2 linked regions of the Oryzias latipes genome follow. The protein of the gene in region 1 interacts with the protein of each later gene in a pairwise test. Links are inferred from orthologs where the notes say so. Each region holds a gene or a part of one and is shown in the gene's direction. Other genes may lie near its edges.

Region 1 (3,652 bases):
TAGAGCATGAACCGTGTGCAATTGTTGCGTTGTTCATATGCAATTTGTCAGTGATTCCTGTGTCAAATACATTGTTTGAACGACATATGCGGCAGTATACACAATATAAAAGTCACACATCTGTAGTAAAAGTCCATTAGACATACGTGGAAAGGTCTGGGAAAGCCACAAATTTACGTACGCATCTCACAGTTGCGTAAGATTGACAATAATAATATACATAAAATACGTATAAACTGTGTAATTCTCAGCGGACCAAAAGATTTGAACAGCTCATAACCAAATTCACGCACAGACCCATCGGCTGAGCCCCTTCGATGGACATCTGCGCACATCGACGAATGCCGAACGCAAGAAACACTTATGAATAACTTATATCATGTTTCACAAAAGAGCAAAGTTTCATACATGAACAATGTGCAAAATGTTCATAGTAGCTGTGTGACATGGCCTTCAGCTCAGGTTTAAATGATTGGCAGTTGTTTATTTTTCAATGGAATATTAGTGAAAAAGTGTTTGCAGTGGAAAAGTTTCTGTTATTTTAAATTAAGGGGGGATTAAAACAGTCCGCTCTCACATGCATTACTCAAATGAGTGATGGTCATGAAATTCTTTTTTTTTTTTTTAAGTACAAGAAAAGAAAATTGTTCCCAAAAGTGTCGATTTTATTTTGTAACTCCTCTATCTGCGTGACAATCCTGTGTTCACACAGACTTGCTGTTTTATATCACTGTTGTTATTCATTATATTTGTAATAAAATGGAAACAAAACACGTCAGATAAACCAAAAAAGCACCCAGAAATCTCCTGTTTATGTTTCTCTCTACACAGTCTATCCAGACCTTTGTAACATCAGCCTGGCTGCAGTGGGAGACAAACACAAACACCACGACCGTGTTGCATTCTGGGATGACGTCTACGGCTTCAACATGTCGTGCATGAAGAAGGCAGCATTACCAGAGGCTTTGGTGGAAGTGGTGAAGATGGACACTGTCATCTCTGAGCCAACAGTCATACAGGTGAAGCTTTACTCGGAAATGCTAAAAACGATGCATCAAATCACCTGGGGGCAGGATATTAAGCCTTTTTACACTTGGAAAGAGGCTCAGAGGTTGTTAGGGAAGACATGCTGGGTGATGTGTGTAACATGTACGGTTATTTGAAGGAAACTCTTATTTTAACTGTCTGCAGGTAGAATGGTTTACAGAGAAACGTTTTTTTCTTCATGTTCCTCACAAACTTGGATTTCGCAGAAAGTTCGTACACGTTTGATTGTTTCAGTTAACCTCTTTGTTAAGTAGTATGCCCTCCACATGTCTGAGTATGTGATGAATGAGGGTGGAACTTGATTTAATGGGATTTGAATCCTCTAATCAATAGTTTCTTTCCTTCAGAGACAAATAGGACAACTCTGCCTGAATTACAAGGATTCTCGTCTATTGCCTCCCATTGATACGATCCAATAACATTCCAGTAAGGCTGGCTGTAGTTCTGGAAAATTGAGATTTTAACAGAAATTAACCTGTTTAATTAATAAAGCAGGGATTAAAGCCAAATAAAAGAGGACCTTCTTTTATTTTTCTGTTTTTTGTGAAAGTTATAACTACATTTCAAAAAGAGGTTATTAAGGATGTTAAGATTGCAAGTGTTAAATAAATACGTAATTATTTGGTTTAAATAATTATCCTTTTTGTGCAATTTGCAGGAATATAATCATTTACGTTACATTCCTTTAATCCTTGTGCTATCTTAGATGACCCCACCCTTACATTGACGTGTTCTCCCTACAATGACAAAGGTGGATAAAGGTGGAAAGATTTCATGTAATCCATGGACACCAGTGAAGATCACAAATCATTGAAGAAAAATGGTCCAGAGCACTGTCTAGCCGCGGGTCTAGATAACCCAACTCCCAATGTTAAAGTGCCTAGGATAGCACAAGGGTTACTGGATATATAGTAAGGCAAAAAAGTGTTTTTCAATCACTGATTCTGGAAGTTGTCCCTATAATGTTCATCATGGGTGCATTTCAACTTTGACAGACAGACTGTAAAAAAAAAAAAAAAAACAGGAAATCACACTGTAGGATTTATTTTGTCTTCTTTTTAGAATTTATTTGCATAATGGTGCTGAAAAGAAGTATTTTGTCAATAACAAAACTTCACCCTTTGTAATATACTGTATTTTCTACTGTTGGCAACTGCCCTGTAGTGCAGAAAATTGGTACAGATAACTGCAGATAATTCTCAGAATCTGTCACTACAGAATACACTACATTACCAAAAGTATTGGCTCACCTGCCTTGACTCACATATGAACTGAAGGGCCATTTCATTCCTAACCCATAGAGCTCAGTTTGATATTGGTCCACTTTTTGCATCTATTACAGCTTCAAATATTCTAGGAAAGCTGTCCACAAGGTTGAGGAGTGTGTTTATAGGAATTTTTGAAGATTCTTCCAAAAGCACATTGGTGAGGTCTCACACACACACACACACACACACACACACACACACACTGATGTTGGTGGAGAAGGGCTGGCTCTCTGTCTGCGCTCTAATTCATCCTAAAGTTGTTCTATCAGGTTCAGGTCAGGACTCTGTGCAGGCCTGTCATGTTCATCCACTCCAGACTCTGTCATCCATGTCTTTATGGACCTTGCTTTGGTCACTGGTGCACAGTTCTATTGGAAGAGGAAGGGGCCCACTCTCAACTGTTCCAAGAAGATTGGGAGCTTGGAATTGTCCAAAATGTTTTGGTATCCTGAAGCATTCAGAGTTCCTTTCACTGGAACTAAGGGGCCAAGCTCGAGTCCTGAAAACAACCCCACACCATAATTCCTCCACCACCAAATGTCACACTCGGCTCAATGCTCAATCTACCGTTTTCCTGGCAAGCTTCAAATGCGGACTTGTTCATCGGGTTGCCAGATGGAAAAGCGGGATTCATTACTCCAGAGAAGGCGTCTCCACTGCTCCAGAGTCCAGTGCTTTACACCACTGTGTCCCACGCTTTGCATTGCACTTGGTGATGTGTGTCTTGCATGCAGCTGGAAACCCATTCCACAAAGCTCTCTGCGTGCTGTGCTTGTGCTAATCTGAAGGTCACATGAAGTTTGGGGTTCTGTAGGAATTGACTGTGCAGAAAGTCAGTGACCTCTTTGCACTATGCGCTTCAGCATCTGCTGACCCCTCTCCTTCAGTTAAAGTGGTCTAACACTTGGTGGCTGAGATGTTGTTGTTCCCAAACTCTTCCATTTTGTTGTGATTGAGCGGACAGTTGACTATGGAATATTTAGGAGCCAGGAAACGGTCTGCATGCCTAAGGGCTTGATTTTATACACCTGTGGCCAGACCAAGTGATTAGGACACCTGATTCTGATTTTTTGAAGGGGTGAGCCAATACTTTTGGTAATATAGTGTGCTTGTAGCCCCACAGAAAACTGGCAGAGATAATGAGTCTTTTGGAGTTTGAGTTTGATTGAGTTTGATTTTATTTATGTGTCATACACTAATGTGCCCAGCCCGCATGGGCTTATATGACACTAGAAGACAAAATACAGAAAAAATGCAGAAAAACATTTCTTTTCTATTACCTCATACAAACAAAGTCAGTGTTTTTCATACAAAGGACAATAAAACAAAAACTGAAA
Region 2 (3,909 bases), on another chromosome or scaffold:
AAATTGACTGTTTCGTCCTGTTTCATCCAGACAGCAGACCTGCCCCTGCTGCAGAAATCCGGTCAATCCGAGTTTGATCTTTGTCATGTTCAAGCTGAGCAAATCCATTGGTCGCATGAAGATCAAGGTAGGACGTGAAAGAAAACTGAAGAGCGGCGCTGGGTATCACTGCCTAAGTGCTTAATCTATTCTATTTCAATCTACATGTTCACCATTCAGTTTTTTAAAACAAATATATGATTGTGTGTATGTTCATATGTATTGGTGCATATATTATTTTAAAACTTTAAGTCAGAGTTTACGTAGTGATAAAAATGGTTTAAACTAATGGTTTAAACTAATCCAGCATGAAAATTTTACTAGTAATTTTATGAATTGTTATTTTAGAAATGCAAAAAAAGCTTTTTCTGCCTTAAAAACGGCCTAAAATTGCTTTAAAGGAACTTTTATTAATTGATTTTAGAAATTGATAAACTATAAATCACATACATCTGATATGAGGATTGCGATTTGAACCTAGTTTACCCCCCAAATCCATCACTCAATCAGTTGAAATAAAAAAATAAAATAACAATTTGACAAATAATGTAAATTTTAGCGAAAATAGGATGCCTCATTCACCGTGATTAAGACTCCCTTACTGTGCTTGATGTGTTTTATATCTCTCTTTTCATATTTCTTTTATATTTTTATGTTATTGCAGTGCACAAATGAGATTCGGGGCTGTGCAGAGACTTTCTCCCTCTCAGAACAATACTGCCACAGCTTGAGTTGCCTGTATGAGCTCATCCCCTGCCCATACCAGGGATGCAGGGCACAGCTTCTCCGCAGAGACCTGGAGACTCATGCACGCCACTGCGAGCACTGGAGTCAGCCCTGCAACATGGGCTGTGGTGCAATACTCTCCCACCGCACCCAATCTCAGCACAACTGTTATAAGCAGCTGAGACAAGAGTACGAAGTCAAGCAGAGGAACCACAGGGCAATCGCTGCAGCACTACAGAGGAAGATGAAGAGGATGCAAAGCACAATGGCCCACATGAAAAGACAGCTGGGGCTCATCTGTGAGAGCCTGGAGGGGATGGATGATCTGTATGAGGTGGAGGAGGATGAACAAGGTGAGAGCAGTGGCAGTTCTAATGGGACCCCAAGTGGCAACAGGAATTACTGAGGGTGTCAGCCTGTTATTGCTTTTCTCCATCAATCTCTAAGTGTGATTTAATTTAAAAAAAAGGTGATTGCGTTAAAATGAGTGAATTTACTGATATATATCTAATATTTTAGTTTATTTTTATTATGTAAATAAAGTTTTCAAAATCACAACTTTCCTTTCCTTGTCTTATTCCAGTCTTATTCATAACGTAAGGTGCAGATCATGTTCTTGCAAAGCCGACCAAAAGGTGGCAGTAAAGAGCAACTTTTGCATTAACGCAAATATCGCGAGAACGTCGTTTGACAAAACCCGGCTGAGCCTTGAACAGGCCTTCTTCCTGTCCAAATCATCACGTAAGTCAATCGTGCTTCCATTGATGCTGGCTAGAAATCCACGTTTATCAAACGCATCTTTGTCTTACGGATATTTATTTTTCACACAGAGTAATATTTACATATTATACTCTTGAAATGTCTGCATATTTAACGTTAGATGTTCGTAGAATCACTAATATCGGACATATATGATGTACACAATGAACATGGCGGTAGTCGTGGCTAGTGAAACGTTTAGTAAAACTCTTTAAGTTAGCAACAAAATTGTTTATTATAAATGTTGTCTGTGACTAGCAAATGGCGGACGACGCCGGTGGTAGAGGAGGTTTTCGCGGAGGTTTCGGCGCTGGCGGCCGTGGTCGGGGCCGCGGACGCGGCAGAGGCCGTGGCAGGGGCCGCGGTGCTCGGGGTGGCAAATCCGAGGACAAGGAGGTCGGTATTTTCCCGTTTTGTGTAACCAGTTGGTTAAGCGTAACATTTTCTGTCACTGAGGCTTTCAACGCGTTCTGTGCTCCGGCAGTGGGTGCCAGTCACGAAGCTGGGTCGCCTGGTTAAGGACATGAAGATCAAATCCCTGGAGGAAATCTATCTGTACTCTCTGCCCATCAAGGTAAGGGTTATTTCTGCATTCATGGTAGTCTTGCATGTATTTTGCAAGTTTCCTCTGCTTAAATATTACTGTGTACACAGTTGTCAGATTGCATCCTTTGTGTCATTGAAATATTAAACCAGGGAAAGATAACAAAAGTTGCAGTTTTGGGCTGCAGGACTGCAATTTTGTTCTGAATTTTTATTGGATGTGACTTTTTTTTTCCCTCTGCAGGAGTCTGAGATCATTGACTTCTTCCTGGGTTCTGGTTTGAAGGATGAGGTGTTGAAAATTATGCCTGTCCAGAAGCAGACCAGGGCTGGTCAGCGCACAAGGTTCAAGGTGTGTGTCGGTTAAACAGGTTTTGTTATGTTCACGTTTGATGTCTAAACCTACCTGCCCCCCCTGAACTACAGGCCTTTGTTGCCATTGGCGACTACAACGGTCATGTGGGTCTTGGGGTGAAATGCTCCAAAGAGGTTGCCACAGCCATCCGTGGAGCCATCATCCTGGCCAAGCTGTCAATCGTCCCCGTCAGGAGAGGTTATTGGGGTAACAAAATCGGCAAGCCCCACACCGTGCCCTGCAAGGTCACCGGTCGCTGCGGATCTGTTTTGGTGCGTCTCATCCCGGCTCCCCGTGGTACTGGCATCGTGTCCGCCCCTGTGCCCAAAAAGCTGCTCATGATGGCTGGTATTGATGACTGCTACACCTCGGCCAGGGGCTGCACTGCTACACTTGGAAACTTTGGTAAGCATCTTCTGGATTCTTGGAAAATGTGAACGTTTGATTTCTGGTGTTCTCCTCGCTCTGCTCAGCTTCACCTCTGAAGTGGTGGAGTTGTCGTTATCAGGAGACAAAGAAATGAGTTCTTGCACGACAGAAAGATGCTTTGCTGGTCTTCTCTGTTCCCCTTTTTTGCACTCAACAGTTTTTCCAAAAAAGATATTTGAATCTTTGCAATAGATTAAGTCTCTAATCACGGTTTTCCTCTTCAGCTAAGGCCACCTTCGATGCAATCTCCAAGACTTACAGCTATCTAACCCCTGATCTCTGGAAGGAGACTGTGTTCACAAAGTCTCCGTACCAGGTTGGTACACAACTACAATATCTTATCAATGCTTCACAGAAAGTAAAGTAGTGACTAACATTTCTTGTTTTTTCCTTTTTATAGGAGTTTACTGACCATCTGGCCAAGACTCACACCAGGGTGTCTGTGCAGAGAGGCCAGCCAGTGCAAGCCGCCACCTCCTGAACATTTTCTACAGAGAACAGTTGAATAAACGTTCGGAAAAATGATTGTTTTGTTGTCTTTTATTTGGAGATCATAAGTAAATAGCTGTGGTGATTGTCTTTTTAAATCAAAGTTTGTCAGCCACTTTAACTGAGTGGCTGTTGTATACTAGCATATGGAGGAACCTGCTGGTATTGTATGACCATTACCCTTCAGGTTAAAAGCCTGAATTTCCAAACTGAACAACTTTGACAGCTGAAGATGACTAGTTCAGGCTTTTTTCTGTATTTTAACTTCCAAAAGAATTACTTTGCACCTGTTGTGATAGGTTCATTTACCATTTCCCTCATTGGTAAATCTTTTGAACCTGAGAAATATTAGTAAAACATTTGCATCCAAATTCACATTAAAGTGCACAACTCAGATTATTCACAAACTTTATTTTACAGTTATTACATTTGACATCAGAACTGTTAAGCACTTTGAGCCTGAGCTGCCATCATTCGTTCTTTTTGCTTCATTAAGCATTTCCTCCCACTGGCGTATGCGCCCAGGTCTCCATCTGAGAAAAGGCCATAAATTAAACGCATGTAAAAAG

Evidence for each region. The genes of interacting proteins can lie anywhere in the genome.
Region 2: the proteins of prmt3 (region 1) and rps2 interact in binary tests that used the Homo sapiens proteins (3 or more experiments, as listed by UniProt). The link is inferred for Oryzias latipes from reciprocal best matches to the Homo sapiens genes PRMT3 and RPS2.

What each region holds. Positions count from the first base shown.
Region 1 is NC_019861.2:6,533,516-6,537,167, forward strand, and holds part of prmt3 (protein arginine N-methyltransferase 3), read left to right. Parts: intron 1-831; coding exon 832-1,019; intron 1,020-3,652. UniProt on the Homo sapiens protein: Protein-arginine N-methyltransferase that catalyzes both the monomethylation and asymmetric dimethylation of the guanidino nitrogens of arginine residues in target proteins, and therefore falls into the group of type I methyltransferases.
Region 2 is NC_019866.2:12,348,167-12,352,075, reverse strand, and holds rps2 (40S ribosomal protein S2), read left to right. Parts: upstream 1-1,485; 5' UTR 1,486-1,506; intron 1,507-1,782; 5' UTR 1,783-1,785; coding exon 1,786-1,920; intron 1,921-2,008; coding exon 2,009-2,098; intron 2,099-2,311; coding exon 2,312-2,419; intron 2,420-2,493; coding exon 2,494-2,827; intron 2,828-3,075; coding exon 3,076-3,167; intron 3,168-3,251; coding exon 3,252-3,332; 3' UTR 3,333-3,376; downstream 3,377-3,909. Other genes in the region: rnf151 (RING finger protein 151), read left to right, coding at 31-127, 704-1,171; ndufb10 (NADH dehydrogenase [ubiquinone] 1 beta subcomplex subunit 10), read right to left, coding at 3,785-3,873.